4 linked regions of the Canis lupus familiaris genome follow. The protein of the gene in region 4 interacts with the protein of the main gene of each other region in a biochemical or structural test. Links are inferred from orthologs where the notes say so. Each region holds a gene or a part of one and is shown on either strand. Other genes may lie near its edges. The genes, in order: ACVRL1, STUB1, SMURF2 and SMAD1.

Evidence for each region.
Region 1: of the proteins of SMAD1 (region 4) and ACVRL1, one has a biochemical effect on the other in vitro, tested with the Homo sapiens proteins (2 studies listed by BioGRID). The link is inferred for Canis lupus familiaris from reciprocal best matches to the Homo sapiens genes SMAD1 and ACVRL1.
Region 2: the proteins of SMAD1 (region 4) and STUB1 form a complex in vitro, tested with the Homo sapiens proteins (3 studies listed by BioGRID, with this or other methods). The link is inferred for Canis lupus familiaris from reciprocal best matches to the Homo sapiens genes SMAD1 and STUB1.
Region 3: the proteins of SMAD1 (region 4) and SMURF2 form a complex in vitro, tested with the Homo sapiens proteins (2 studies listed by BioGRID and IntAct, with this or other methods). The link is inferred for Canis lupus familiaris from reciprocal best matches to the Homo sapiens genes SMAD1 and SMURF2.

Annotation. Positions count from the first base shown.
Region 1 is NC_049248.1:43,569,798-43,576,935, forward strand, and holds part of ACVRL1 (serine/threonine-protein kinase receptor R3), read left to right. Parts: intron 1-47; exon of another isoform or gene 48-442; coding exon 443-511; exon of another isoform or gene 512-1,037; coding exon 1,038-1,289; exon of another isoform or gene 1,290-1,465; coding exon 1,466-1,677; exon of another isoform or gene 1,678-1,928; coding exon 1,929-2,028; exon of another isoform or gene 2,029-2,369; coding exon 2,370-2,516; exon of another isoform or gene 2,517-2,741; coding exon 2,742-3,017; exon of another isoform or gene 3,018-3,540; coding exon 3,541-3,738; exon of another isoform or gene 3,739-3,751; intron 3,752-5,576; exon of another isoform or gene 5,577-5,835; intron 5,836-6,125; coding exon 6,126-6,256; intron 6,257-7,138. UniProt on the Homo sapiens protein: Type I receptor for TGF-beta family ligands BMP9/GDF2 and BMP10 and important regulator of normal blood vessel development. On ligand binding, forms a receptor complex consisting of two type II and two type I transmembrane serine/threonine kinases.
Region 2 is NC_049227.1:40,362,374-40,370,143, forward strand, and holds STUB1 (E3 ubiquitin-protein ligase CHIP), read right to left. Parts: upstream 4,090-7,770; 5' UTR 3,977-4,089; coding exon 3,818-3,976; intron 3,262-3,817; coding exon 3,063-3,261; intron 2,971-3,062; coding exon 2,805-2,970; intron 2,745-2,804; exon of another isoform or gene 2,596-2,744; coding exon 2,508-2,595; exon of another isoform or gene 2,390-2,507; coding exon 2,333-2,389; exon of another isoform or gene 2,253-2,332; coding exon 2,136-2,252; intron 2,059-2,135; coding exon 1,933-2,058; 3' UTR 1,685-1,932; downstream 1-1,684. Other genes in the region: JMJD8 (jmjC domain-containing protein 8), read left to right, coding at 146-240, 326-575, 655-751, 837-905, 1,001-1,120, 1,206-1,273, 1,349-1,483, 1,558-1,638; RHBDL1 (rhomboid-related protein 1), read right to left, coding at 5,488-5,759, 5,846-5,906, 5,987-6,087, 6,162-6,274, 6,366-6,514, 6,590-6,814, 7,018-7,179, 7,472-7,510. UniProt on the Homo sapiens protein: E3 ubiquitin-protein ligase which targets misfolded chaperone substrates towards proteasomal degradation.
Region 3 is NC_049230.1:14,542,398-14,549,535, reverse strand, and holds part of SMURF2 (E3 ubiquitin-protein ligase SMURF2), read right to left. Parts: intron 7,055-7,138; coding exon 6,970-7,054; intron 5,014-6,969; coding exon 4,930-5,013; intron 2,407-4,929; coding exon 2,204-2,406; intron 1-2,203. UniProt on the Homo sapiens protein: E3 ubiquitin-protein ligase which accepts ubiquitin from an E2 ubiquitin-conjugating enzyme in the form of a thioester and then directly transfers the ubiquitin to targeted substrates.
Region 4 is NC_049236.1:44,383,141-44,390,864, forward strand, and holds the start of SMAD1 (mothers against decapentaplegic homolog 1), read left to right. Parts: upstream 1-3,405; 5' UTR 3,406-3,511; intron 3,512-5,748; exon of another isoform or gene 5,749-6,056; intron 6,057-6,579; exon of another isoform or gene 6,580-6,751; intron 6,752-7,724. UniProt on the Homo sapiens protein: Transcriptional modulator that plays a role in various cellular processes, including embryonic development, cell differentiation, and tissue homeostasis.

The sequences.
Region 1 (7,138 bases), on a different chromosome or scaffold from region 4:
TGTTTGAGGCAGCCAGTGCTAGGGGTGGGGGGACTGGGGGAGGGGGCGCGGGGAGGGGGGTGGGCAAGAGCCGGAGGACACAGGGTGCGGGGGGACTGCTGAAGACAAGTGCCTTCCACCCCGGCCCGTGCCCTCTGTGTCCTCCAGTCTGAACCCAGGAGCAGGGGTAAATAGCTGGGAGTCCCCCAAGCTCTCTGTCACTCAAACATGGCTCCCCCACCCTTTACCCCTTACAGGATGGTTTCCATGGGGAAGTGAACCAGGACTTCCCCTGCAGGCCCCGCCCCAAAGCCAGACACAGGGAGTAGGGAGGAGGCCTCCCTGCCCCCCCCCCAAAACTCCCAGTGATTTCCTCTGGGTGGGAGGAACCCACAGTCGGTGGCTAAAAACACCAAGGGGAACACATTTCACGGATCTTACGGTAACCCCCTCTCCTCTCCAGGGACCATGACCTTGGACCTGCCCAGGAGAGGCCTTCTGATGCTACTGATGGCCTGGGGCCTGACCCAGGGTAAGTACTAGGGAAGCAGGTGGGGGACACGGACCTGGATGGAGGAAGGGCTGGCTGGGGTCAGCTCTTGCTGGGGCTGAATTTGAGGAGCTGGGGAGGTACTCAGGAGCTTGGCTGGAGAGTGGGAGGCAGGCTCAGCTGCCCCAGCCCTCAATGTTCTGATCTGAACCCACAGACTGGTGCCCTACTGGCCTCCAGGGTAGGAACCTGTATCTGGGGGGTGCAGAGAATGGGGATGTTGGCAGGGAGGGCCTAGGAGAGCCCTCAGGGTTGGGGCAGGGGCCAGGGCCGGGCCTAGAACCAGGAGGGAAGGTCCTCGGATCTGGGACAGGACGAAGCCTGGTTCTCATCATCGTATCAGAGGCTAAGGTTCTGGAAGGAAGGATCATCCGAGGCTGGGACTAAAGGCCCACGGCCTCAGGGGTATGTTTGAGAGGTCAGAGGGAAGGGCAATGGGTCAGACATCGGTGTTGGGCCCCGCCCAGGAGTTCGGCCCACAGCGCTGAGCTTCCAGTGTGTCTCCCAGGCAACCCGGTGAAGCCCTCTCGGGGCCCGCTGCTGACCTGCACGTGTGAGAGCCCACACTGCAGGGGGCCTACCTGCCAGGGGACCTGGTGCACGGTGGTGCTGGTGCGGGAGGAGGGCCGACACCCCCAGGAGCATCGGGGCTGCGGGAACCTGAACGAGGAGCTGTGCCGGGGGCGCCCCACCGAGTTCGTGAACCACTACTGCTGCTACAGCCCCCTCTGCAACCACAACGTGTCCCTGGTGCTGGAGGGTACGTGCAAGTCCCCGCAGGCCCTCCCCATCTTCTCAGACCCTTCCTCCCTGCCCTGCTTCCACCTTGTGCTCTGGCCTGGATGGGGGGGCGGTGCACGGCAGGACCCTGGGATCTGAGTCAGGGGAGGGATCCGGCCTGGTGGAAGCTGGGCCTCGGTGTCCCCCCTCCACCAGCCACCCAAATTCCTCCGGAGCAGCCGAAAGTAGATGGCCAGCTGCCTCTGATCCTGGGCCCTGTGCTGGCCGTGGTGGCCCTGGTGGCCCTGGGTGCCCTGGGCCTGTGGCATGTCCGGCGGAGGCAGGAGAAGCAGCGGGGCCTACGCAGCGAGCTGGGCGAGTCCAGCCTCATCCTGAAGTCGTCGGAGCAGGGGGACAGCATGCTGGGGGTATGGGCCTGGGGGAACCTGGGACACGGGCAGGGGAGGGGCTAGGCAGGAGCCACAGAATCAGAGGGGGTGCCGAGTGACAAGCAGCCAAGAAAGGCACAATCACAAACACTCGGAGATCTGAGTGGGGGCCGGGGGTGGGCGCTGGGCAAGTTTGGAGCAGGGGGACGCAGCAGTGGGGCCCAGCTTTAGGAGGAAGAAACGGGCTGGGCCAGGTGGGGGCCTCTCAGCGGCCTCTCCGGGCCCCCTAGGATCTCCTGGACAGCGACTGTACCACAGGCAGTGGCTCAGGACTCCCCTTCCTGGTGCAGAGGACAGTGGCACGGCAGGTGGCCCTGGTGGAGTGTGTAGGTGAGCAGTGGGGGAGCCCCGGGGGGATGAGACCAGGGCCTCCCATGAGCTCGCGGGAGTGAGCGAGCTCTTGGTCTCGGAGTCCCGGGCAGGCCCGGCCCGAAAGGGAACGCTGCTGGGTAGGCGGTGGCCTGGAGAGGGTCTGGGCTAGATGGTTCTGCAGCGGCTGGGGGTGGCAAGGCAAGTGGGGGCGGGCCTGGAGCGGGTGAAACCTCATCGAGGGTTCTGCAGCTGCGGTCAGGACAGCATCAAGGCGGTGGGGGGCTCCTCTGGGGATGCCCTGCCCAGGGGCTGCGTGTGCCCAGCGTGTGACTCCTCCCACCCTCCCGCCACCGGATCAGGCAAGGGCCGCTATGGCGAGGTGTGGCGCGGCCTGTGGCACGGCGAGAGCGTGGCCGTCAAGATCTTCTCTTCGAGGGACGAACAGTCCTGGTTCCGGGAGACCGAGATCTACAATACAGTGCTGCTCAGACACGACAACATCCTAGGCACGTGGGGAGCGCTCGGGGCTGGGGTCCTCAGGGCTCCCCGGGGCCCCCGGCTCCGGCCTCGACTCCAGCTTCCTCCCTGGCCTAAGCCGGACCAGCGTCCACCGCGGCCCCGGCTTTGCCCTGACCCTCTACCCTCTGTCCCCAGCCCCGACCCTGACCCCCATCGGCCCAGCCTCCCTGGCCCTCGCCCCTCGGCCGAGCCGCCCGACCCTCTGCCCACAGGCTTCATCGCCTCGGACATGACGTCCCGCAACTCGAGCACGCAGCTGTGGCTCATCACGCACTACCACGAGCACGGCTCGCTCTACGACTTCCTGCAGAGGCAGACGCTGGAGCCCCAGCTGGCCCTGAAGCTGGCTGTGTCCGCCGCCTGCGGCCTGGCCCACCTGCACGTGGAGATCTTCGGCACCCAGGGCAAGCCGGCCATCGCCCACCGGGACCTCAAAAGCCGCAACGTGCTGGTCAAGAGCAACCTGCAGTGCTGCATCGCCGACCTGGGTGAGTGCGGGGTGCGCGGGGCGGCGGCCGGGCGGGCTTTGAGCGCGCCCCTCCTCGCTGGCTTGTGCTGGCTTGTGCCCTCGCCCTCGGCCTCACAGGCTGCCTTGCGGCTCTGCAGGCCCGACTCCTCCGGCCCAGCACCCTGGTTCCGGGAGTTGGGAGCACGGGGCGGGGCGCCGGGAGCCCCGGGTTTCACCCCGGCTTTGCTGGCTGCACTGCGCCCCTCAGCAGGCCTCGGGGGTCCGCCCGGGAAACAGGCATGACAACGCCGGCCTTGCCTACTCCCGTGTCTCTGGGTCCTCGGGCGCTTGGGGGAGCGCTTAGGCGAGCAGAGCGTCGCTGGGACAGGCGTCCTCGGGGGCTGCGGTCCCCCGCCCGCCCCAGGACAGGTGTCCCTCTGCCTGCTGCTCTCTGCCCCACCACCTCTCTCCATCCCCACCTTGCCTCCTGCACCCCAGCCTCCAGGGCCACCCTGTCTGTGGGCTCGGGCGAGCGGCAGGAGTGACAGGCCCGGTGCCCACAGGCCTGGCTGTGATGCACTCCCAGGGTAGCGATTACCTGGACATCGGCAACAACCCGCGAGTGGGCACCAAGCGGTACATGGCCCCCGAGGTGCTGGAAGAGCAGATCCGCACCGACTGCTTCGAGTCCTACAAGTGGACGGACATCTGGGCCTTTGGTCTGGTGCTGTGGGAGATTGCCCGTCGGACCATTGTCAACGGTGAGGGCCTGCCCTGCACGGGGTGGGGAAGGAGGAACGGGGCGGACGTGTGGACAGGCAGACGGGCAGGAGACAGGGGCCTTCCTGCCACGGCTGGCGCCCGTGGCCTGAGGGCTCAACTGAGTGACCCTTGAGGTGTGACTGAATCCGTGAGCCTGGCTGTGACGGGAGGCTGGCTGTGAAATCTTGGATAAGTAGTAATAACAGAAATATCAGTAGCAACTAAGCTTTCTTGAGCCTAAACGTGTGCCAGACGTCCTGCTGTGTCCGTGTAGTATCTTAGCTCGACATCCCGTGCTGGCAAAGCTGGCATCGGCCTGTGGTCAGGAGCGTGCGGTGGGAATCAGACTGCCTGGATTCCGCTCCCGGTTTTGCCCCCCGACCACAGGCAGGTTACTTAACCTCCCTGTGCCTCAATTTCACTTGAAAATGAGAATGAAGATGGTTCTAGTTGTCGAGATGATCCTCGGGCGGGATCTGGAGCTACTCTGGGGCTCAGTAAATATCAGTGGCAGTTTATCGTAATAATGCGAGACCAGCCCCTTCCCAGGTGAGGGTGCCGAGGTAGAGAATTGCAGCTGGCTCGGGGCAGCACCGGGGTCCGAAACCAGGCGGTGTGACGCGGAGGCCACGGGTTCTTTGCTATAGAAATGCAGGCGCTGGGAGTGTCTGCGCTGCCTGCTTATCGCTGCCTCCTTGGGACTTTGGCTGCCGTTGGAGGGGCCGGGAGCAGGTGGGGGGACCTCAGTCCTGCTGGCCAGTATGGGGACAGCCCTGTGGCCCGTGCCCTCCTGGCCCGGGGTTGGGGGGGTGCGTGTATGGATGACGGGTGGTATTCTGGACCAGGTGGAGAGACTCGTCAGGCTGTGTGGCGGCTGTCCCTGGGGAGGGCTTGCTGGAGGTCCTGACAGGTCGGGAACGACCTCAAGATATGACTGGAGCGCTCTGTTCCTTGGGGACAGGGACATTCTCATTTCCTGAGCATCTGCTGGGAGCCAGCCCCATGCCAGGCCTCATTTACCCTCAGCATCAACAGGTGGAGGCCGGGGGGTCACCAGTCCCTGTGGGAGACTCTCTAGGGGCTCAGATTCCTGGCCCTTCAGATGTGAACTCCCTGTGTAGGGTCTGAAGACTGGGGCTGCGGAAGGGACACCTGGAGGGACCGGTGCGGGCAGGAAGGGAAGGCTGGGCCGGCCAGGGCCGACGGGAAGGCTGACTGCAGGCTCCTGGGGCGGAGGGAAGCTCTGAAAGCCCCACACAGATTCGTGGCGCATTATAAACACTGTAATCTGGTGTCAGCCCCGGCGCTGATTAAAGGCCCATTAGACACGCTCAGGCCTCTGTGCAGCGCTGATTAGGGCCGGAGCGGCACAGGGGCCGGCCTGGAAGCCCGCCACGGGGAGAACAGCTGGCGGAGGCTCGACTGAGGTTGCGGCTGCGGGGCCACGGCCCCCAGCCTCAGGCCGGGAGCAGGGGGTGCCCGGGGCACCTTCTCTGGGCCTGGCCTCTCCTGCCTGAGCTGTGGGCGGCTCCCCAGGCAGCATTTCGAGAAGGCTCCGCTAAGGGATGGCGAGGGGACGCAGCGAGGCCTGTGCCATCTCTGGGACGGGGTGGCTGTTACATGGACCTGGGTAAAAGTCCCTTTCTCCTCGCGCCACCTCGTCCCCCCAGAGCAGGCCAGCTCCCCTCCCTTCGGCACTGCTCCCAGGTCAAGAATGTGCAGACCATCTGGGCTTAAATCTTAGCTCAGTCACGCGCTACCTGTGTGCTTTTAGACGAGTTTCCTCACCCCTCTGGCCTTAGTTGCATTGTCCATAGAGTGGAGCTGGTAGTGCGACTTACGGGGTTGCTGTGAGGATTTAATGCAGTGCGGCCGGGACAGTGCCTGGCACAGCGTACGTGCCCAGTCCATGTTTTTATCGGGCATCTGTGATAGTTGGGGCCTGGGAGTGGTGCCCAGGCCCGGGGTGGGAGGCAGCGTGGAGAGACCGGAACAGGGTCCGGCTGAGGAATCGACGAGAGGAGTTCAGGCCTTGACTCTGCCTTTCCTGGCTGTGTAACCTTGGGCTCCACTTCCTCGAGCATCAGTTTCTTCATCTGTAAAATAGAGGTTACGGTAATACCCGTGGGGTTGTCGCAAAGACGAACGAGATAAAGCATGAAAGTGTTCATAGCACAATGCCTGGCACCTGGTGAGCGCAAAATCAACAGCCGTAATCCTTATTCTTTGAAAATATATTGATGATGTTATCGTGGCCCGTGTCTTACACGGGTAAGACAACTGGTTTTCTGCACCCTGGGGCAGAAGGTGGGGCAAGGCTCTCCTCGGGATGGAATGGGGTCTTCTTGGGGTGCCGAGTGACTGTCCGTCCCCCCGCCATCCTCAGGCATCGTGGAGGACTACAGGCCACCCTTCTATGACGTGGTGCCCAATGATCCCAGCTTCGAGGACATGAAGAAGGTGGTGTGTGTTGATCAGCAGACTCCCACCATCCCCAACCGGCTGGCCGCAGACCCGGTGAGGCCTCCGCGGGGGCGGGGGCGTGGGGGCCTGGGGATGCCATGGGGTAGGGGCTCACAGCTGGGAGTTCTGGCCCCGGGAACACGTACCTGAGGTCTCTGCTTCACCTGCATGGATTCCGGAGGAGAGATGCCAGGGTACCTCCCTGGGTCCTCCCTCCCACATCCCTGGCCTGCAGAACCCCGAGATTTGGGTTACTCGGAGATATTTCAGAACCTTCTATCTCGTGGTGAAAAGTCAGCCTCTCTGCCGCATTTCTTGCTCTGAACTTGTTGCTGTTTTCGTTATTTTCTCAAAACGCTCCACATGCATATAAGACACATACACACGTGGACGTGGACGCATAAAGGCGGGCACCTGCCTCTGCACGAACACGTCCTCACACAGGCATGCGCATCCATGCCAGACTCTCGGCCCTCTGAAGACGAAGAACGTGTCTCCCTTGCCACCTTATATCCCTGTTATCTGTCCCCGGGCTGGCACACAAATGAGTGCTCAACCAGTGTTTCCGGAAGGAAGGAAAGTACATGTATGTACGTACATGTGCATAGACACACGCGTGTTTCTGTACAACATGCTTATCCATAAACAGCCCCATATATGCGCTGCTAGGCACACACACGTACACTCAGGCCAGCTTGAGTTTTGGGATGGAGGAGAGGCTGGCTCACTCTGGGGCCACTGAGCTTCCTGGGATGGCTTCGTCCTGGACACTCCTCCAGGGGGCCCAGGCGGGGCTGGAGGAGGCGCTGGGAGAGTCCGTGCCCTCCACGCCGGGCCGAGAGCAGAGGGGAGCCCCCGGGCTTGCACATCTCCCAATCCTCGGATCTTGGGGGAGGTGGGTGGGGTGGGTGTAAGGTGTTCCACAGACACTCCTCA
Region 2 (7,770 bases), on a different chromosome or scaffold from region 4:
CCGCTGGGTGGGCGGTGTCGTCGCCATGGGAACCCGCGGCGGCCGCTCCGCCTTCCGGGGCGGGCCAAAGGAGCTGCTTCCGGGGCGGGCCGGGCGCTGTTGCCACGACAACGAAGCTCCCGGCAGGCTTTGCGGCGGCGGGCTCATGGCGCCGGGGGCGCGGCCACTGCTGCTGTTGGCGGTCTGGACGCTGGCGGCGCCGGTGCTGCGCGGCGCCGGGGACACGGGCGACGGAGGGTGGTGAGCGGCGCGGGCGGGCGGCCGGGACCCGCGGGCGGCCGGCCGGGTTGGGGGGGCGGCGGGGCGCTGACGGCCGTGCCCGTAGGCAGAGGCGCGGGCCCGGGGCCCCGGCCGCCGTGGCGGAGGAAGAGCGCTGCGCCGTGGAGCGCCGGGCGGACCTCAGCTACGCCGAGTTCGTGCAGCAGTACGTGCAGCCCCCACACCCGCCTCCCGCCCCGGCCCCTCCGCCCGGCCCCCGCGCCCCTCCCCCGAGCCGGTGCGACCCGCTGCGGCCCCGCCCCTCCAGGTACGCCTTCTCCAGGCCCGTCATCCTGCAGCGGCTCACGGACAACTCGGTGAGTGCAGCGCCCCGCCCGGCCTCTCCACCCGCGCCGGCCCGCCCTTGAATCTTCTCCCCACCCCACCCCACCCCAGCGCTTCCGGGCCCTGTGCTCCCGAGAACGGCTGCTGGCCTCGTTCGGGGACAGCGTGGTCCGGCTGAGCACCGCCAATACCTATTCCTACCGGAAAGGTGAGCTGCCGCGCGCCGCCGCCCCACCTGCTTGCCGGCACTTGCAGGCGGTCTCGGCCAGTCCTGACCAGGCCCTTTCCTACAGTGGACCTGCCCTTCCAGGACTACGTGGAGCACCTACTGCACCCCCAAGACCCTAGCTCCCTGGGCAACGGTGAGTAACACCTGGTTGGCCGTGGGCTGGGCTGGGGGCATGTGGACAAGCACAGGTGCTGAGACCCGGGCGCCTCCTATATTCTGTGTTGGCAGACACCTTGTACTTCTTCGGGGACAACGATTTCAGCGAATGGGCCTCACTCTTCCAGCACTACTCCCCGCCTCCGTTTAGTCTGCTAGGTACCACTGCTGCCTACAGCTTTGGAATCGCAGGTGGGTACCCTGCACGTGGCATGCCGGAGGAAGGGGATGCGCCAGGTGGGGTTGCGTCAGCAAGTGCTCCTAACTGACCCCACAGGAGCTGGTTCTGGGGTGCCCTTCCACTGGCACGGGCCCGGGTTCTCAGAGGTGATCTACGGCCGCAAGGTCAGCACGGGCCGGGGCTGCGGCTTGGGGCTTACTGCCTGCCAACATGGAGTGACGGGCTGATCTCACCCTCAGCGCTGGTTCCTGTATCCCCCTGAGAAGACACCTGAGTTCCACCCCAACAAAACCACACTGGCCTGGCTTCAGGACGTGTACCCAACCCTGGCACCATCTGAGAGGCCCCTGGAGTGCACCGTGCAGGCTGGTGAGGTCAGTAGGTGGCAGGAAGGGGTCAGGCTGGATCACACGCCACCAGCTAATCCTTGTGCCCCACCCTCCACCAGGTGCTGTATTTCCCTGACCGGTGGTGGCATGCTACGCTCAACCTGGACACCAGTGTTTTTATCTCTACTTTCCTCGGCTAGGTAGAGTGGGCGGCTGGTGAGCCCAGCACACACCAGCACACACCCCTATAGTGCTCACAGGTTTTATTACAGGACAGTGGTGGCAGCAGCCCACCCTCACCTGCTGTTTCTGGCCCAGAAGGGGGTGGAGGTGGGGCTCATGGTCCAGCAGCAGAACTGATGAGGGTGGGATAAGGGACACCAGGGCAGGGATCTAGGGACACAAACTATGTACAGGAACTGGGAGCTACTGCCCCAAAGCCCACCTGGGCCAGGGTACTAGGCAAGGCAGGCAGCTCTGGCACTCGCCTGGCCTCAGTAGTCCTCCACCCAGCCGTTCTCGGAGATGAATGCATCAATGACCTCTTTCATGGCCAGGTTGGGGATGAGCTGTTCCTGGGTCAGGGGGCTCCGGGTGACAGGGTCAAAGTGGCCCACACGCTGCAGTGTGCAGTGACAGCAGGTCAGAAAGTGCTCAGTGGTTACGGGCCCTGCTCCCCACTCTTGTTGGCTCTCACCTGCAGGTGTTCCTCAATGTCCTTGCGGTCGTAGGTGATGCCACTAGGCGTGATGCACGGCTCCCGCATAAGCTCGAAGCTGATCTTGCCACACAGGTAGTCCGGGATGTCTCGCTTCTGTGGCACATGGAGTCAGGTCAGGCACCAGGATGGGGACCCGGCTCCGATTCCTGCTACCCAGAGGACAGACAGCTTACCTTTCTCTTCTCGTCCACCTGGGAGAAAAGCTCATCCATGTCTGCTAAGTACTTGTCCTGCGGAGAACCAAGCAGCTACGCGTGGGCCAAATGCCCCTTCCCCCTCCCCCGGGCACCCTCCAGTCACAGGCACGCAAACACGCACACATCCACACGTGGGCTGGGGCACCCTCACGTGCTTGGCCTCGATGCAGGCCTGCTGGGCCCGGACGTGGCCATCATCCTCATCACCCTCGTGGTTCCGCTGGCATTCTTCTAGCTCCCTGGGGGTCGACCAGGAGCTAGTCAGGAATGGGTCTGGCCAGAAGAGATCACACTCCACCCCAACCTCAGGCTTGTTCAGGTCTCTCTTCCCTCCAACTGCTCGCCAGTGCTGGCCTTCAATAAACACTTGTGTTCTTGACTCAGTTAACCCCAGAGTGCTGCCTTGGGGGTGGGTGGGGCCCTGGAGCCTGCCGCTACCACAGCCCACCTCTCCCGCTCGGCCACAATAAGCCGAGTGAGGTAGGAGTGCAGCTCATTCTCCTGGTGGATGCGCCGCTCCTCGATGCTGTTCCAACGCTTCTTCTTGGCGATGCGCAGAGCACTAGGGATATCATCCCCGAAGTTGAGCCGCTGCTCCTTGGCAAGGTTGTAGGCTGGGGGAACAGGGGCTTCAGGTCACCTTCTGGCCAGTCCATCCACCTGGTCCCAGGCGCCCCCGCCGTCCCCTGACAACCTGTAGGCCCACCTCGCTGCAGGTTGGCGATGGCCTCATCATAGCTCTCCATCTCTAGCTGGCACTGCCCCAGGAAGAAGTGTGCCTTCACAGACTGCCCGTCCAGTTCCAGAGCCCGCCGGCAGTCAGCCAGGGCCTGCTCATGCTGCTGCATCTTCAGATAGCACAACGCCCGGTTGGTGTAGTACACGGCCACCAGAGGATTCCGGGTCTGGGGACCAAGGCCAGGCCAGCCAGCATGAGGGAAAAAGCTCCGTGGGCCCTGTCCTAGGCCCTGTCCTGGTCTGGGAGCCCGTAGCTAAAATCCAGACACTAGAAATTTCTCAGCTTGGAAGCCTCTGCTCAGCTAGGGCTGTAGAGTGAACTCCCGGTCCTCAGGCCTGCGCTAGCCCACCCTCTCGGGGCTCCCAGGAGGTTTTGTAAAGGTGAGGTTCCCGGACCTGAGGAGAGCCCCAGCTTCGGGCCTGGGCTTCTCAAGGGACAGGAACCCTGGTCCCGGCCTGGGGCCTCGAGCACCCCTCAAGCTCCCACCCGCCCCTCCAGCAACCAGCACTGGCTCGAGAACCGCGCGGCCTTGGCTCGACTGGAACATGATCAGCACCGAGTTCTCGGGGCCCAAACGCCCCCGCGGGCGAACCAAGACCGCCCCGAGGGTCCGGCGGGAGCGGCGGGGCAGGGGCTCCGGGGAGGACGCGGGGCCGCGAGCCGGGCCCCGCCCACTCCCCCGCCCGGACGCCGGCCCCCTCCCCCGGCGCGGGCGCACTCACGATGGCGCGGCCGTAGCAGGCCGCCGCCTCCGGGTACTTGCGGCCCACGAAGAGCCGGTTGCCCTGCTCCTTGAGCTCCTGCGCGCTCGGGCTCTTTTCGGGGCTTCCGCCGCCGGCGCCCAGCCGCGCGCCGCCCTCCTTCTCCTCCTTGCCCTTCATAGCGCCGCGCGGCACAGCCCGGGCTTCGCTCCCAGGCTCCGCGTCTGGCCCGCCCTGCGCCCGCAGCCCGAGCCCGCAGCCCGAGCCCGCGATCCGCTCGGGCCCGGTCCAGCGATCCGCCACCGGAACTTCCGGCCGCGCGGGGCGGGGCCAGCGGCACGGGCGGGGGCGCGCCTGCGTCCGACGGGCCGCGGAGGCAAGGGGGGGCGGGACCGACTGGGCGCATGCGCTCGAGGGAACGCGACCCGCGACGTCGGACGTCCGGGACAGCGACAAGCGCGGCCCCGCCCCGCCGAGGCCCCGCCCCGCCTAGGCCCCGCCCCGCCGAGGCCCCGCCCCGCGCGGACTAGGCGGCCGCCGGCTGGCTGCGCGGCCGTGGGGCCTTGAGGGCCGCGGGGCTGCGGTCCTGGCGCCGCACGGGGAGGTGCCGCGGCCGCCAGGGACGGCTGGAAGCTCTGGAGCGGTGGCAGGACGGCCGAACCCCGCTGCCCGAGGCTCCGTCGCCGCCCTCCCCAGGCCCCAGAGGGCTCCCCGCGGCCACCGGGGGCGGAGCGGAGGAGCACGTGGCCGCCGGCGTGGAAGCGGGGGGCGGGGCTCCGGGTGAGGTTCCCCCACCCACCCCGCCCAGCCCACCTCGGCCCGGCCGGTGAGTGTCGTCGCCTGCCGGGGGGCCCGTGGCCGTGACCCCGGGGGTGCGCGGGAGCCGCCTGCCCAGACGCTGGCGAGGCTCGAGCCCCGGCTGCAGGAGCTCCGAGGCCGCCGCGCGCCCGCCGCCCGCGGCCCTGGGGAGGCGGGGTGCATGCGGCAGGCAGAGCCGGCCCGAGCGCCGCATGGCCTGGGCCCGGGCCCCCGCCCCCCTCTGTCCCCGCCCGGGCGGGACCTCAGGCCCGGGACCCCTCCCCGCGTGGGACCCGCCCCAGCCTGGCCACCCGCAAGGACACCGCGCCGGCCCAGAAGCGCAGAGAAGCCAGGCTGGCTGAACCCTGCTGGGCCCGGGCCACAGGGTTCTCGGAGGGCGGGCGACCGGCTGGGCTGCAGTCTCCGCTGCCTGTGAGGACCCCAGCTCCTCGCACACCCGCCACACGCGCACGCCTGGTTTGGGTGCAGGGAGCACCGGGAGAGCTTGGGCTGCCGTGCGAGGGCCGGGCGGGCCCCTGGGGCCAGCCCCCAGAGCCCACTGCAGCCACCTCCTGCTGTGTAAAATATTTATTCATTCTCCAAAAAGGCTCAGACCGCAAGTTGTGGGGGAGAGGCAGGGGCAGGGTCTCCCTAGGGCCACACTTGGGGACCTCCACTGCCTGGCCAGGCAGTCCTATGTCCCCAGGCCTGGGAGGGGGTGGCCAGGGCTGATGTAAGGCTTGGCCTGGACTCAGTGGGCTGCGAGGGCCACCTGCCCCTACGGAGGAGAAGCAGTCTCAAGGTGTACATTCACAGAGGGCAGATGTGCAGGCTCGCCTGGCAGCCAGCCCACACACACCAGTGCCCTGACCCATGGGGCCCTGGGGAGCCCATCAGGGTGGTGGAGGGATGTGGGCGCCTAGCAGGTCGTAGGCGAAGACGTTCCAGAAGATGGCAAAGAGCAGGAAGGTGCCATATGCGAGCAGCACCACCCACCAGCCACACTGGTCCCGCAGGCGTTCCTCATAGCTGCGCAGGATTGTCAGGCCCATGCTGACTCCTACCACTGCACCTGCCAGGTGTGCCATGAAGCTGGGCTGGGGGCCGGAGGCAGGCAGTGGCGGGGAAAAACGGAGCCACACGGCCCGGCCCACTTCAGAACTCACTGCAGAGAAAGGTGGCAGGTGGGCAGGTGGGAGGCACTCTGGCCTGAGGCTGAGGCCCCTCTCAGCCCCCTGACCCCGTACTTACTGCACACCAAGGCCAGCACCATCCTCAGCAGCTTGTAGGGACACCTCATCCCAGCCCAGTTCTGATGGGGCGCGAGACACAGGCTGTGAGGCAGGCCTTATGGGCCCCTCCCCACACCCGCCCCGCTGTCTGCCCTATTACCATGACGACGTTGGCCAGGTGTGCGGAGCACAGGGCGTAGACCCCACCAGAGCCCCCCACCACAGGGGCCCGCATGTCGGTAATGGAGACAGTCAGGGAGCCTGTGTGAGCAAAAGGAGAGCCGTGAGCAGGAGGCTCGCCGGTGCAGTGGCCGGGGGGCGTGTGCCTGCCTTACCTGCCAGCACCCCGGCCAGGTAGAGCAGGCTGATGCGGAGCAGGCCGTGCACCATCTCCAGGGGCACCCCGATCATCAGCTGCAGGAGCGCGTTGAAGCCCAGCTGCTCCAGGCTGGCCATGTGGGTGTAAACAGATGTGAGGTTGGTGGCGGCGGACCACCAGCCCTACCCGACGGGGACACCAGAGGCGGGCCCCCGCTCACCCAACGTGCATGAACATGTAGGTGAGGAAGCGCCAGGCTCGAGCGCGGTGGCCGGGGTGGTACACCAGGGGGCTCTTCATGTACTCGGGGTGGTAGGTCTGCAGCACCCACTTGTTGAGACGAGCCCCATAGCACAGGAACACGATGATCTGGGGGAGAGGGGCGTTAGGGCTGGGCTGGGCCGGGCGCGGGGAGGCTCCGGGGTGGCGGGCGGGTAGGCACACCTGGGCAAGGGTGACTGAGGCCATGAACACGGGGGGCGGGCAGCTGCGGTGCCGGTAGAAGTACCAGTGGCGGTCCACTTCTCGGGGCAGGATCTCGTAGGCAACGTAGCGCACGAACCGCTTGTAGACACCCAGGCCCGGCTGGTCCAGCAGCCCGGCCCGGGGCAGCGCCCTCTGTCCGTTGGCGATGGCCCGCTTAAAGCTGCTCGAGCGTTTACTGCTGATCTGGGGGGGCGCTAAGCATGGGCCACCGTGCTCCCTGCGCCCCGAGCCACCCTGCCCCCTTGCTACCCCCCCCTGCTCCTGGTGGAGGCTGAGTCCCCGCCCCCGTCCACACCCCTCCCAGGTGGGAAGGGCAGGCGTGGGGGCTGCCTGCCCACCCGCTCGGCCGGGCCCCTACCCTGCCGTCCACCCACTGTGGCACTGACCAGGTCCACCAGCTCCTGGTAGCAGACCTGGCCCCGCTCGTTACTCTGGGCCAAGGCCACCAGCATGTCCAGCTTGGCCGGGTCCAGGGGCAGCTCATGGCTGTGCACCAGGCCGGTGAAGGTGTCCGCACCGATGAAACCTGTGTGCTCAGGGTCCAGCTGCTGGGGTCGGGGGGCGGCCATCGGCCAAGGCTTGAGGTGGGGCGGCCTCGGGGCCGGGCCAGCAGAGGGGCGGGCTCCCAGCTCCCTGGGCCAGGCCTCCGTACCCGCGGGTCCCGGGCTCCCGCTCCACCGCTCCTCGGCCTCCCCACCTCCTTCCCGCCCTGCGCATCCTCCGGGCGGGCAGGCTCCCTCCCTCCTCTGCGTCCCCAGCCGCGGCCGCCCTCTCCCGGAGCGTCAGGCAGGGGAGCAGGGGCCCCAGGTCTCCCGGTGGTGCCCCCCGCCCCCCACGCACCTGCTCCTGGATAAGCTGCAGCAGCGAGCTCCTGTCCATAGAGCCAGGCTGGGCCGGGCCGGGCCGGGGTCGGCGGCGGCCGGAAGGGGCTGCTCTGCGGACGACGCCGCTCCGCCCCGGCCCGCCCGCTCCGCCGGCGCGCGTCACGGAGCCACAGCCGCCCGCCCCCGCGCGCTCGCCGCCGCCGCCGCCCCCCCCCACGCGCGGCCGGGACACGCGCGCGCTCTGCCTGCGGACGCGCCCCGGGAGGGAACAGCTCAGTCCTCGCCTACCGTTTGGGGCTGAGGCTGCTCGGTCGC
Region 3 (7,138 bases), on a different chromosome or scaffold from region 4:
AAGTGGAGCCTGAGGGGAACAAAAGAAAGCTCAGAGGAAGAGGCTAACCAACTATAGGGAGATTCTGCAGGGAGTTGCAAAAACTTTCAAAGGGTTTGCAGGCTGGTAATGCTTGTTTAGTATGCCTAATTTTATACCAAAACTTAAGTTTTTTCTTGAGAGAGGTGTTTTCTCAAGACTACCATATTTAGACTCAGAGGCAAAAAAGATGGAATATGTCATTAAAAGGGGAGACACTCTATACTCAAAAATAGACAAAGATGCAAAAATAAGCAAGTTAGAAAGAGGAAGAACAGAGAAAAAGCATGCATTCTGGGGAGAAAAAGGTCAAAGGCGACATTAACTCCAAGCCCCTGGGAAGAGAGTAAGAAAGCCAGGGCAAAGGGAAGGAATCTGTGGAAAAGTTTCTTCAGTGGTAGTTTTTAATCTTTATTTATTTGTGTTTTTAAGCAACAGAACCACCTGTCTTTAAACAAAATCTAATGAAAAATTCCAATATAAAAAACGATACTATTGCTAATATTTATTACTATAAACCTACTTATAAACCTATAATAAAATCTATTTAAACTTAAGCTTCTTAAAATTATAAACATAAAAATGTTTAAAGTTGGTGACATATGACAGCTGCAATAATTTCAGCCTTGGTAGCCACATTACTCCTAGGTTTTGGTTGTACAAAATTTGTTTTTAATTCAAATCACACAAATATTGTAAAAATATAACCACTCCCACTCCAAACATCTTGCCTTATAATCTCAATTAAAGAGAAATGACAGGGCAGCCCCAGTGGCTCAGCAGTTTGTTACCGCCTTCAGCCCAGGGTGGGATCCTGGAGACCCAGGATCGAGTCCCATGTCGGGCTCCCTGCATGGAGCCTGCTTTTCTCCCTCTGCCTGCGTCTCTGCTTCTCTGCCTCTCTCTCTCTCTTTCACTCTCTCTCTCTCTCTCATGAATGAATAAATAAAATCTTTAAAAAAAGAGAGAGAGAAATGACAGAAAATACTTTATTCTAAGGTCTGAACACTAATAATAACAAGCAAAGTTTACTAAGTGCTTCCTGTGCCAGAAACTATCAGGCATTTTACATGAAATCATCATTCCTCTCTTGCAACAAACCTCCACAGTTGGGACTACTAATTTCCCCATTTTATGGAAGATAAAAAATTGAGGCTCACAGAAATTAAATAATGTGCCCAATGTCACACAACTAATATGTGGTAAAGCCAGGATATAAACCCAGGTCTATTTCCCACGGCCATGCTCTCATCACTGTGCTACGTAAGTTAACCTGTGCAGTATAGCACAGTTAATGGACAAACTGGGTTTTTTCTAAATTAAAGAGTTAAAATATATTTTAAAAATAAAGCTAGAATCATGCATTTGCAGAACAGTTTAAAACATATTGTAGAGGAAAAATAAAACAAGTTGGATCAGGTGATTCCCAACGCTGGTCATTAGGTGTCACCATCAGCCCAGACATGGTTTATCTACAGGCTGTTGGGAGGACAAGGATATAATTATTTTGATATACTTTTAGCAAGAAAGGAGAAGACAGCTGAGTTCCTAGTATCTACAAGAATACTCCCAGGTTATGACTAATTCAGAAAGTTCTATATCCAACTAGAAGTCATCTTCCGCATGAAATTCTACAATTTGGGAAATTATGTTAGATTATAAAAATTTTATACAGAGAAGTGACTAAGTCATTTACAACAATAACCCAAATCATGTAGATAATCCAAAATTATAGACAATACAAAGATATAAATACCATCAGAAACATACTTTTGAAGTTATTTCTAAATATGTAGGTCTAGAAAATTTTACACTGCAGGTTTGACTTCAGATTACCATTATCAATAACAGTACCATCTTACCTTCATAGAATGTATTATTTGCAAGTAACCTCACATTGTCACATATGCTCTTCATGATACCTCTGAGACAAGGAGAGGTATCATTCATCTCATTTCATTATAAAAGAGCAAAAGGGCTGAGATTAAATGACTAGCCCAAGTCAACTGTTGGTTAGGTAGTCCTCTACCACTTCACAGGTTTTCCAAGGTTGGGAGATTTTACACATTTACTTTCATGCAGAATCCTAAACCCAGATTAATAACTTCTTTAAAGCTGATTTTCTGGCTTTCTTAGTAAATTGAAACCAGTAAACCATACTCTATTTTTCCTCTGCTAGTCATACCATAGCCTTCCGGGAGGTCTGGAGGAGTATGTAGATGAGTCCTGCTCATGTAATTTCTATGTCGTTGTGACCGGACTCTCCTCTCGGCCAGTCTGGGATCTGAAGACTGTCCACATGTTGCACCATTTGTTCCACTAATTGGAGTGTTCTCATCAACAAAGCAGCTAAGAGGTCTGCCGGGACTAGAATATTCAGATGCTGGTCTATTTAAAAGTAACAAGGAAAAAAAGTTACTCAACCAAGATCTCAGAGGTAGAGTTCTCCAGACAATGTATGTACCATAGGGACAGTCACAAGATGGAATGATCAATACAAATATAATGATTTCAAGAATTCTGAATAAAAGCAATCCTGATGCCTCTAAATACCAAACTCATGTTAATAGGCAGACTATCAATTATGTATTGAAATCATTTTGTACTGATTTGAATTACATTTTATACAAAGTCCAGAGATACTTGTAGATGTGAGTACTACTTTACAAAGCACTACTTGACTTAGCCTCAGCCCACCTCTCAGACCTGACTTTCTACCTTTCTCCCTCTCCATTTCTCCCACACTGATTCTCTTGCGTTCCTTGAACCTGCCTTGAACCAAGACTGTTTTACCTTCAGGGCTGGAAAGGAGCTCTTCTTCCCACCCAGAATGCTTTCTTTTCCTATTCTTCCTAGGCCAGGCTCCTTTTTGTCATTCAAATCATAACTTAAGCTTAAATGTCTGAGAGGTCTCCTGACCTTCAAGTCTAAGGCAGTCACTAGGCATTTGATAAGTCCATCACCTTACTTTCTCAGCCCAGCAATTATTATTATTTTTTAATCTGAACCCTTGGTTTGTTTTCCCTTACTAGAATATTCTTTGAGAAAAGAAAGTCTACCTAGTTTCTTTCCCACTATATACATATATGTGTGTGTGTATCCCCTGCACTTAGTACTTGGCATATATATAAAAGTAGCTCAATAAATATTTATTGAATGAATAAAGAAGATAGTGTGACTCTTCAAAGAACTTCTGGTATATGGTAGGGCATCCAAAATATAAGAGGATAATCAAGAATTAATTTTTAACTAACATTTACAACCACAATCAACTTTATACACATGGAAATTAAGTCAGTTTCATTAGTTAAATGAGTTAGGAGGAAATGGGACTTCACTAAAGCACTGACACAAGTACATATTTATTTACGCTCAGATGCAATAAAAATGGGTTGACTACAATAAAATCCTTGGCAGTTTAATATTAGAAATACAACTCTCAAGTAAGTATTTTTTAAAATAGCAACATGAGCTAAGCTTTTACCTGAGGATTGTAATATAACACAGAAAACTGTGACTTAATGAGTTAAGCAACGAATCCCCAATAAATAAAAGTAGGTATAGCTTAGAGAAGTATTTGATGTTCTGTGTCTGGTACAAGTCCTGCTCAGGAAAAGGAGAGAGGTGGGGGAGAGGTGAGGGAGAGAGGGGAAGAACAAACAGAGTAAAGGCAGCAGTTTTTTTTTAACTTTAAAAAAAAAAGGAAATTCAGTCACTTATCCTATTCAGTTTCAGTTACTGTGAAAGACACAGTTACTTTTTTTTTTTAATTATTATTCATGAAAGACACAGAGAGAGAAGCAGAGACACAGGCAAAGAGAGAAGCAGGGAGAACAATGTGGGACTTGATCCCAGGACTCTGGGATCACACCCTGAGCCAAAGGCAGATGCTCAACCGCTGAGCCACCCAGGTGTCCCATCAGTTACTTAAAACGTACTTTCAGGAGGCCTGGGTGGCTCAGTCGGTTAAGCATTTGACTCTTGATTTTGACTCAGGTCATGATCTCAGGGCCATGAGATTGAGCCCCAAGTCTGGCTCCATACTGAACATGGGGCTTGCTTGAAATTCTCTCTCCCTCTTCTTCTGTCCCTCCACCCCCATCTCTGCCACGTGCACACCCTGACTCTCTCACATAAATAAATAAACATTTTTTTTAAAAAAGTACTTCCTTGGAGTTTCCAAAAATTATCTTGTATTGTGTCTTTACACATTAAGCTCTGTGAAGGCCCTTCTCCCTTGCTCACTGTTATAGCATAAATGCTGAGCATTGTAACTGGCATATGACGATTTGGTGAAATGAATGAATGACGATTTGGTTACCACTACTCTAACACTTTTCATTATCTTCCCCTTATCTGGTTAAATTTGAACATTCTTCAAGATTTAGTTCAGAAATTCTCCTCTTTCAGAGTTTTCCTTTGCAAGTTCTAACAACCTGCTGCCTCCTACTCAAAATTAGGTGCCTGCCGTATGGTCTCAGAATATCTGGTTCTTATCTTGATCACAGACCTTATTAGATGTAATATAATAATATAATCATATCCCAACATGACTGAACAAATGAAGATTCAGTATATATAGTTTGTTACAGCCATTCAATAACGGACTCAAAAAAATTTTTAAGAGTCCCATAAATAAGATGACTTTTCAATTTATTCAGTTAACTCATTTAATAAATATTTATTAAGTACCATCACAGGCCCTAGAGCTACAATAACAGGATGACCTGCTAAACAATCTTTATTGAAAATTACTTTTGGAAATAATAATGGCACTTGCTGTAAGATCTACTGATCTTGAGCAGTATAAACCAAGAAAGGAAATCTGGTAAAGCTGACAGATAAACAGAAAGTGATGACTTCAGGAAGGCAAAAAGCACAGACCCTGGGAAGATATTTGTATGTTCTTACCGTGTTGGGCGTTCCCATTGCGTAGTTCTTGTTATGTGGTTTAGATACTGGATTCTTCCAGAGGCAGTTCGCCTTTCTTCCCAGCTTAAATAAAAATTGAGAGATAAGGCATTAATAAGAAGGTGGATACAGAATGTTTTTAGTGCAATAACTGGGTCAGGAAGACATCTGCTGTTATAAATCAGGAATGACAAACTGAAAAATCAATATACAGAATACTGGAACTATTTTCAACTTATTTTAAAACTGTACAATGTATTTTTCTGGAATTCTGAAGCTTCTAAAATATTTACACTGAGGTATGACTAATATTTTCCATCAGTCAAACTCAGAATTCTTCAATAATGTCAACACTCATAAATAATACTAATTTCTCCAGTATTTAGTGGGGAAAAAAAGCCATACCAAAAATAAAAATTACACCTAATTTTAAAAATTAACATAAAAGTATGTAAAAGTTCTTTAAAGCTTTTAGCCTACTCAAATTATTTTTTTCTCAAAAGAATGGTACTTCCTCAGTAACTTTTTAATGCATGTAACAAAATAAGCAAATGACCATAGAAATGTGGTAATGTTAGTATTTCCATCAAAACCCTGGCAGAGGTTTAGGAGCCATAAAGAATAGGAAATAAAGATATGCTAAGAGGTTTTCTTGCCCTGTGATAACAATTAAAGCACAAAATGTAGTGTTTAGCAATTAATTTATAATAAGACTATATATTATAAAACATAGACCGAATTGGTATTTTTAAAGGAGGTGATATAAAAACAAATGGAAGGGGGGGGGAGTACAATAAAGCAAAGCCTTACATTGTTGTAATCTCTTAATACTGATTAGTTCTTTCATACTAAAGTTCCCCTTCAAAATTACCATAATCTACTTCATATCCATAAAAGTTAACATATATATAAGGAGCTAAAGTGGTCTATAAGTAAACTTAAACTATGGCGATTTTTAAGAGTTTAAACAAAATGAGCAAATACCTTGGGTTGGATGTAAAATTTAGTATCAAAAATAATTTAAGTAAAAATTCAACCAATTATATACTTTAAATAATTTATTATATATAAACTACACCTCACTGGTGTTAAACATACTTTGAAAGTTAAAAATAAAGTCAGAAAAATGTCAGCATTAGTATCAAAGATACAGAGCAGTGATCAAAAGCATGAGCTTTGGAATCAAGGCTTATTAAGTCTATGTTCCAGCTCTCCCATTCACTATGTGGCCTTCAAGGCAAGTTTACTTAACTCCTCTGAGTCCCAGTGTTTTTAATCTATGAAATGAATGAGGGTGACAACAGTAGCAGCAGAAGTAATAATAGCAGCTAATTATTTATTAAGCACCTACTAAATACAAAACACTGTGCTAAGTGCTTTACATGAATGATTTCATTTAATCCTCAAAATGGTGTATGGTATGTATACTATTATCACCATCCTCTTCTATAAGTAAATATAAACCAATGCTTGCAAAAGTTAAATAAACTGATTAAATTCATTAAGCTTGTAAATAGAATAGTAAGGATTGGAACGCAGATGGTCTAATTCCAGAATCATAGCCATGTAAATGAAATGATCTAATGTATCACATAAAGTACTTATAAAAGTACCTGACACACACATGCTCAATAAATGTTAAAATTTTTACTACGCAAACCTCTGTCCCATTCCTCTAAACAGAATAATGTCTCCGATTCAGCACTTATATGCCTGGTTTTGAATAATTTAATCAAATAAAAAAGTTGTTATTTTAAGTACATAATATTTACAGGAAAGTTATATTTGTCAAGCAATTTGATTGTCTCTTAAGTCAAAACTCTTAAAAACCAAATTTACCACATCTACTTCATGGCTTCTTTTATAAATTTGTCTTGACAAGATTCCTCAATAATTTTCCAAGTACAAGGAAAATCTAGATTTTAGAACTGATCAGTAAATTTTTAAAGTTAAGAATACAATAAACACCAACTTATCTGTCACTATTTGAAGGATACTATCAACTATTTCTCTAATGATTTGGCTTTATTAATGGCTTACCCATCTGGCAAATCATTATCAAATAAACGACTGCAGTCCACAACTTGTCCTCCTGTGCCTATTCGGTCTCTGGACTGAAGACTTACTATAAGACAATAAAAAAAATTACTAAGAGTCATAAAACTAGAAAAATTTCTTACAATTTAAAAAATATATCTTTAAAAGACAT
Region 4 (7,724 bases):
TGGAGAATAACAGCATTGAAATTCTGTGTTGCAGGCAAGTGGAGGAAGAAATAGTCTTCACAGGCCTGCGTCTAGATGCCATACATACTGTATTGTCTGATGCCACCTGGAAATGGGGTCACCGTGAACAATTCTGCTAAGCAAAGATTATAGAATGCTCCACAAACTTAAGGAACTGTGGGAATTCCTACAAAATTTTGTCATGATGATAAATACTGTAAAATGTTCACACAAAACCTGTGGTGCACAGACTGTTATGGAACTCGGAGAAGGGGTAATAATTTTTTGCAAATTCCTCACGTTTATAATTAGACATTAGAAGTTTAAATAAATTGAAATTAATAATAAGTGAGAAATTCAGATTTGAGAGTGAAGGCAATCATGAAAAAGAACCATTACTGCAAAGTTTGCTCTATTTTAAGAAAAACACCAATTGGAATTTTCACAGCGGTTCAGTTAGATATTTAATTCCTTCAGCAAATATTTGAGTGTCTCCTGTGATAGGTCTGTGTAAACTTTGGGCATGCAGTGGGGAAACACTTGACAAGGTTCCCATCCTCATATTACTTAGAAGGCAGGTAGGGTCTTCCCACTGATATTCAAAACAGCGTGCCTAAACACATTCCTAACTATAAGCAGCCAAAAGTTTTCTAGAGGAAAAGGTGTGATGAGAGAATAGAAGAATTTCAACATAAAAAATTCATAATTTGCACTTTTCCCTCAACAATAGTTATCATTGGAACATTCCTTTTTAGTGTGGAATACCACACCAGTGATCCTTGGCCAGCTCATTCCAGGGGAATTGATTCATTTAAATTCACTTAAGGGGTTGCTACACAAACCCTACATGACATTTATTTTTCTATTCAGTAGAACTATCTCTTAACATAAATTTGGGGGGGGTTCATATTTTGCACATTTAGTATTTGCAGCCAATTTTAAGGGCTCACCTTACTGATAAATGATTAGTAGTTGTGTTTTGGTTTTGTTTTCATTTTTTAAGCAGGCTAGCTCAATAAGAGAATTAGTTTGCCTTTGGTGACTTGATACCTCCTTTTCTCTGAGGAGACTGTCCTCTTCCCTGCCTTACCCACCTACTTTCTCTGACCACACCACTAGATCTTGGCATCACCCCAAACTGCCCCAGCTCCATAATTTCAAGCATCCCATTCCCAGACTGTTCCTATTATTTGGGAGTGAGTCTCAACTCTGGCAATTCTTGGACTCCATTAGGACCTTCAATCCATTGATCTTATCACCTTTCCTTTGTCTTCTACTCCTTTATATCCTCACCTCCCTCACTCCCACAGCCCACCCTAGCCTCTCCCCTGCCCACATTCTCTGCTCTCTGACCCTCTTTCCCTCCATCACACTTACCTGCAAAACCCTCGTGCTGTCCCCTCAGGCTGACAAGGCTGTAGAAAAGTCCACAGCCCTGCTGAGTGTTCTTGCTTTGCATTCATGACCATTAACCTCAAATCGGCACTTACTAGCACTGCCTGGCAATCCTACCATATTTGTGTAGTTCATTTGCTCTGAAACTCTCCCAGAAGATAACTCTTTCATATCTGCTGCTCTTTTCCAACCTCCATAATCTCTCCCACCCTAACCATTCTCAGGAAGTAGGGCTCTTCACTAAGATAAGAGAAGTAGTAGAAGAGAACTTCCCTGTGTTCCTGCCTGGGCAGCTACCAGCACAGGTGCACCTGGTCCACACACTGTCTTCCCTCCTGTGTCTAGCTTCTCCCTGCATTGCTGCACTGGCCTCCTGGATAATCCGCGATTGAATGAAGTAGACTCAGGTTCAGGGACTTTGCACTTGTTCCTCACTCTGCTTGGGAGTTTGGTGACCCTCCTCCTAGATCAGTGGCATGCTCCCTGTCTTCCTTCAAGACTTCTTTGTTAGGGAGCTTTGCCCTACCCCTATAGACATAGCACCCACCCCTGCTCCCAATCCCTCCTACCTTGCTTCTTCCTTCCCATGTACCACCCACCACCTAGAATATTTGTGTATTTATTCATTATTTATCTTCTTTGATGAGAGCAGGGATTTTTTATCTGTGTAGTTTGTAACTATATGCCTTGTAATTAGAACAGTGCCTCACACATTTGTTTGTTCGTTCATTCATTCATTCATTCAGCAGGTGTTTAATAAGCTCCTACTGGGTGCCAGATACTGTTCTAGGCTCTGAGAGAATAGCAATGAACCGAACAGACCAAAAGTCCTGTTCTTTCAGCTAAGTAGTTAGGTAGTGATAGGGAAAGAGGATTACAAAACATGTGTGTTTGGGAGGGGTAGGTAAAAGTTTAGATAGAGTGGCCAGGCTGGGTCTTATTGAGAGGGGAACAGTTGGATGAAGACCTGAGAGGGGTGAGGGAAGGCCCACAGCCATGTGGGAAGGGCTTTCCAGGTAGGAGACAGCTACTGTGGAGGCCCTGAGATGGGATTGGACTCAGGTTGCTCCAGGACTTGTGAGGAGGCCAGGTTGACTTGAGGAAGTAAGCAAGGGAGAGAGTAGGAGATCAGGTAGGAAGGAGTTGGGAGCACAGATCAGGGAGGGCTTTGTACACATGGTGAGAACTCTTACTTGAATGAAATGGGGAGCCACGGGAAGGTTTTCTGATACAATGATATCAATACACAAGCCATATTCAAGCTTTGACAATTGTCCAAATAATGTCCTTTTTTGAAAAAAGTATCCAATTTTTTATTGCCGCCATTTAAAGAAATAACTTGCACAAAGGGTAAAATCAAATTGCATAGCATATGCAGTGTGAATAATTGTCATTTGTGGCGATCAGAACTGTACTAAGCAAGGTCATGTGTAGGTTAAAATGTAATAATTTTATAATTTTTATAAAATAAAAAGTGAGTTTTATTGTCATTGCATAGCTTCTCCCACAATCCTGGGTCCAATTAAGGATCACACACTACATTTAGTTGCTGTATCTTTTTAAAACAGCTTTATTGAAACAAAATTCACATGCCATCTAATCTACCCATTTAAAGTGCACGATTCAATGGCTTTTAATATATCCACAGAGTTGTGTAACTACCATCACAGACTAATTTTATAACATTTTTTACACGCCCCCCCCCCCAAAGAAACACGATAACCTTTGGCTATCGCTCTTCCTCGATCTCCCTATCCTCCCAAACATAGGCAACCAACATTCTACTTCCTGTCTCTACAGATGGGCCAATTCTGGGTATTTCAATATGAATCAAATATGTGGGCTTTGTATCTGGCCTCTTTCATGTGATACAATATTTTCCAGGTTCATTCATGCAGCATGTGTCAGTATCTCATTCTTGTTAATGACTGAATAATGTTCCATTGTGTATACAGCACGTTCTATTTACCAGGGAAGGGTTTTGGGCAGAGGAGTGACCTGATCTGAGTGGCATTTCACAAGGCTCAGGCCAGCTGTTGTTTCAAGGAGCAGAGAATGATGAACTGTGTCAAATGCTGCTTTTAGGGAAAATAAGATGAGGCCCAAGACTTGACCAGTAAGTGCTCAAATAGCTTAACAAAGAGATGAACTGAAATATTCTGATCTATAATTTACAAAGTGTTGTATGTCTTATGGGGCTTGTTGCATTTCTTTTGAATAATTAAACATGGAATGCAGAAATAAATTAAGAAATATGAATTTAAAATAGACTGTGGACATGTAAAGGTGCATGAACAATTGGAGAGTACCATTAACTTCCTTCGGTCTTTGATATTTTCTTTATACTGGTGGTAATGGTTCTTTGAGTTCGTGAGAAATTTATTCCTCAGAGTAATCATTCCTCTCTAAACATAACTCAACATTATGGTAATTATCCAAGATTTCATGCCAGCTTCCAGAGAGCTAGCCAAGGGAAAAATTAATTCTTACAAAAGATATGTTCGAGGTCTATGCAGATCAGGTTAGATGAGAGCCAGTCTGTTTTTATTTTAGGGGGTTGGTGTCATATAAAAGATTATAGAAATCGGATCAAAAGTTGAGTTCCATCCCAAAAAAAAAAAAAAAAAAAAAAAAAGTTGAGTTCCACTGTGGCATCTGCCATTACTTAGAACCACTACGTTACCCACTCAAGTCATCACATACTGAACTGGCCCAAAACACAAAACAGCGATACGGGTGGGTGTAAGCAGATGCAGCAGCACTAGGCTATCCAGTTCTGGGTACGTGCAACTTGTGGGGCGTGCAAAAGTGAAGGGCAATGGAAACTGGACATGAAAAGGAGAGGTCTGAAAGAGAATGGTCAGAAACGCGCCCCGCGGGTGCGGTGGTAGCGTTCGGAGGGCGCGGTGGGCGGGTGATGAGTAGTTCAGAAAATAAAGACTAAACCTCGAACTTCACGTGAGGATAACGCACCAAGCCCGCTCCGCCGGGACTCCAGGAAGCAGGGGAAAGAAGGCTGGTTTCTTTCTCCTTGGAGTCAACGGGGCGTGGGGCCGGGGGCGGGCTGGGGGAGGCGGGAGCAGGGAGGTGGCCGGCCCCGCGGCCCCGCGCTCGCGCTCAGCGGCCGGGAATTTGGAGAGGATCCCTGGTCGCGCGGCGGCGGCGGCGGCGGCGGCGCGCGGGTGCGCGTGTGAGCAGGCGGGCGGGCGGGCGAGCGAGCGAGCGTGCGGGCGGGCGGGCGAGTGCGCCGGCTGTTGGCAGCCGCCGAGTGGAGGCTGGGCGGCTCCGACTCCCTGACGCCAGCGCGACCAGATCAATCCAGGCTCCGGGAGCGGGCGGGCGGGCGGAGGAAGCGGAGGCCGAGCGGCCGAGCCCGGGCCGAGGCGCGGGGAGGCACCCTGCGAGCGCAGCGCCCCGCCGGCCGGACCGGGGCCGCGGGACCCCGCTCGTCCGGCCCCTCGTGCGCCCGCGCGGACGGGCGCGCCGCCAACCCGGTAAAACGAAACAGACCCGCACCCAACTTTCTCCTTGGCCGCGTCCCCGCCCTCCTTCGGCGCCCGGCGCTTGCTTTCCAGCGCCGCCGCCGCCTCCCGTGGGGTGAGCGCGGGGCCGGTGACGCGGGCCGCGGCGGGCAGGGGGCTCTTCCCCGCGCGGGGCGGGCCGGGCCGGGCCCCCCCCATGATGGCGCCTCCCGGCCGCGCCGAGGAGCGGACCTGCCACCGCCTCCCGCTCCCGCTCCCGCTCCCGCTCCCGCTGTGGCGCCCGGCCGGCCAGGCGGGGCTCGGCGCCGTTCTCCTCGCGTCTTTGTTGGCTCAGCCGTGGGGAAGCCGCGCTCCTCCGCCCGAGCCTCTCCCCGGCGCCGGCCGCCGCGGGACCTCCCCTCCCGCCCTCTTTCCCCCTCCGCAGCCGGGCCGAGGCCCGTGCGCGCCGCCCGCCGCCCGCCGCCCCATTGTGTCCCGCCGGCCCGGGCGACCCTTGCGGGAGCTGGGGGACGGCCGCGGGGCGCTGCCCTCCGCGCGGTGGGCGCCCGGCCGAGCGGGGCCGGCTCCAGGGGCCCCCGGTGCCCCGCGCGCCTCCGCATCCCGCACGGGGGCCTTTCCCTGCCCCAGCGAGCCTCTTGGGGGTCGAGGTCAAGGAAAGTTCGCACCGAAATTCCCTCTAATTTATTCAAAGGCTTGGCGGCGGCGCGTATTTTTTTTTTTTTTTTTTCCCCTCTCTCTTCCGCCTACACCCCGTGCGCCTCCAAGTGTCGTCTCATTCCTTTCCCTTTACCGGATTCGATTGCCTCACTGCATGTGTATTTGTGAGTTCGCTGTTGAACAACTGTTCATTTACTCCGCTCGCCGCCTTTGTTAGTGTTCCTCGGGCTCGTTGCTGGAGGAAGGTGGGGGGAGTGGGTGTGAGCGAGACCGACGTGGGCTTGTTTTTCTAGTTGCTTTATACACATGAGGGCTTAAAGGGAGAACGTTTCCTTGATGCACTTTAGGAAGGGAGGAGGAACAAACGCCTGCCGGATCCCACAACTACAGTAGCTGCGGCTTTTGTTTATTTTGAGGCTCAAACGATTGTTCCATCTACTGTGCAAGATAGCCCGCGAGGCGCTTCCCTTCTGAAAATCGAGGCACGTCTCCGAACCATCTTCTTGAGAAAGCATCGTTTTCGTGAGTGCTGTGGCAACCGGCCTTCCCTACCCCCCCCCCCCTTCCCTTCCTGTTCTCTTCTTTTCCATTGTATCCGAAGTTTCAAAGCATGTGGAATGATACAGAAGTTGCATGATGTCACTCTGTCATCCTGTTGCTGGAACTCTTAGCACCTAAATCACAGAATGCCTTCGTTTCAGAGCATTTCTTGCTCTCCTTGCCCGTGGTGATAACATGCTTAACGTTCAGTAACACGATAAGAAAACTGTTCTCGGCCCGTGTTGACTTTTCATGTTGTTTATAATTACCACTTTACGTTTTATTGGAAGTAGGTGAGCTGTATTGGAACCACTGTTTCAAAAAAAAAAAAAAATAATAGTGACAGGGCCCATGTTCAGGGACCCAGTATTTTCAAGTAGTATAAATATTTTGCATCAGTGTTCTTCTGATGTAGGTGCCAGGCCTACCTATGCTGAAATGATTAAGGTGATTGTCGTACTCCCTCTCTCTTTCCCATTTGCAGTTACTTGATATTTCTCTGCAGGTGGTGTACATTTGTGTGATACTGCAATTCTTAGGAAACTGTAACCAGGGTCGTGAGAGATGATTTTCTAGAAGTGGGTGATGCCAGAGCCTCTGGAGGATCCAGACAAGATCGGGTTTCTTCTGAGTGTAGGGATTTGTCCTTGATTTAGTTTTGACCCCTCCAACCATAGGTATGTAACCAAATACATTTTTCCTTTTTGCAGTATCCATTGGTTTTATACCCTTGAAGAGTGGATGACCTTTGCATTTTAGAGAAATGACCATTTTATAGGTATTTGAAAATGTTAACCTCTTATATTCTTGGAATTTAAGTAAATTTTTCCCTACGAAATTCATTGAAGCATTATGTCAGTCTCATTCCCCCCACCCTCATACATTTGTTAGTTAAAAACTAAATTTCAGTTTGTGATTCTGATTTATAGTAATTCTGGGTTAAAGATAAAATTTAATGACTTGGTTAGATAAGAAAAAGAAGAAACTGGGGTGTAATTAGATGACTATGTTTAAGCTGTAGTCACCTACATAATCAAGGCCAAGTTGTGTGTGTATAAAAGATCTCATTTGTGTAGTCTTACAAGGCTAATGGAGGCATCATTGAGGCTTTATAAATAATGTAAGTTGTGTATAATGTAGAGTCTCCAGAGACAGCAGAGAAAGCATCATTACCAGCCTTTTCAACCTGCTTGAGATCTTAAATTGATTTACAGCACTGAACTGGTGCAAAATGATACATCAGGATGACATGGGGTCAGCCTGTAAAAGTCTATGATGTCAGCCTATTAGTTCAGTCATCATAATTAAACCATATTACAGGGGCAGCTAAGCAGGAGTCTGGCGTTATACTTCAGATATGGGTGGTACATGGATTTTGTTTATAGTGGAAAGGCTGAGCTGACCAGGAACCCAAGTGTTTCTGAAAGAGGGAAAGGCTTACAGAACTCCGAATTTCTGAAGAAATTTAAAATAAATGAAAGGATGTTCAATCTGCATTGTCTAAGTAGCTTTCCGTTTGGTAGTGGAGAAACAGATGCATTGGGGGTTCTGATAAGAACTTTTGCAGCTTTTATACTGAACCAGGCTTCATATGAGCTTGAATTTAACGTGACCTTAGGGACCTTCTAAAATATCAGAGGACCACATACT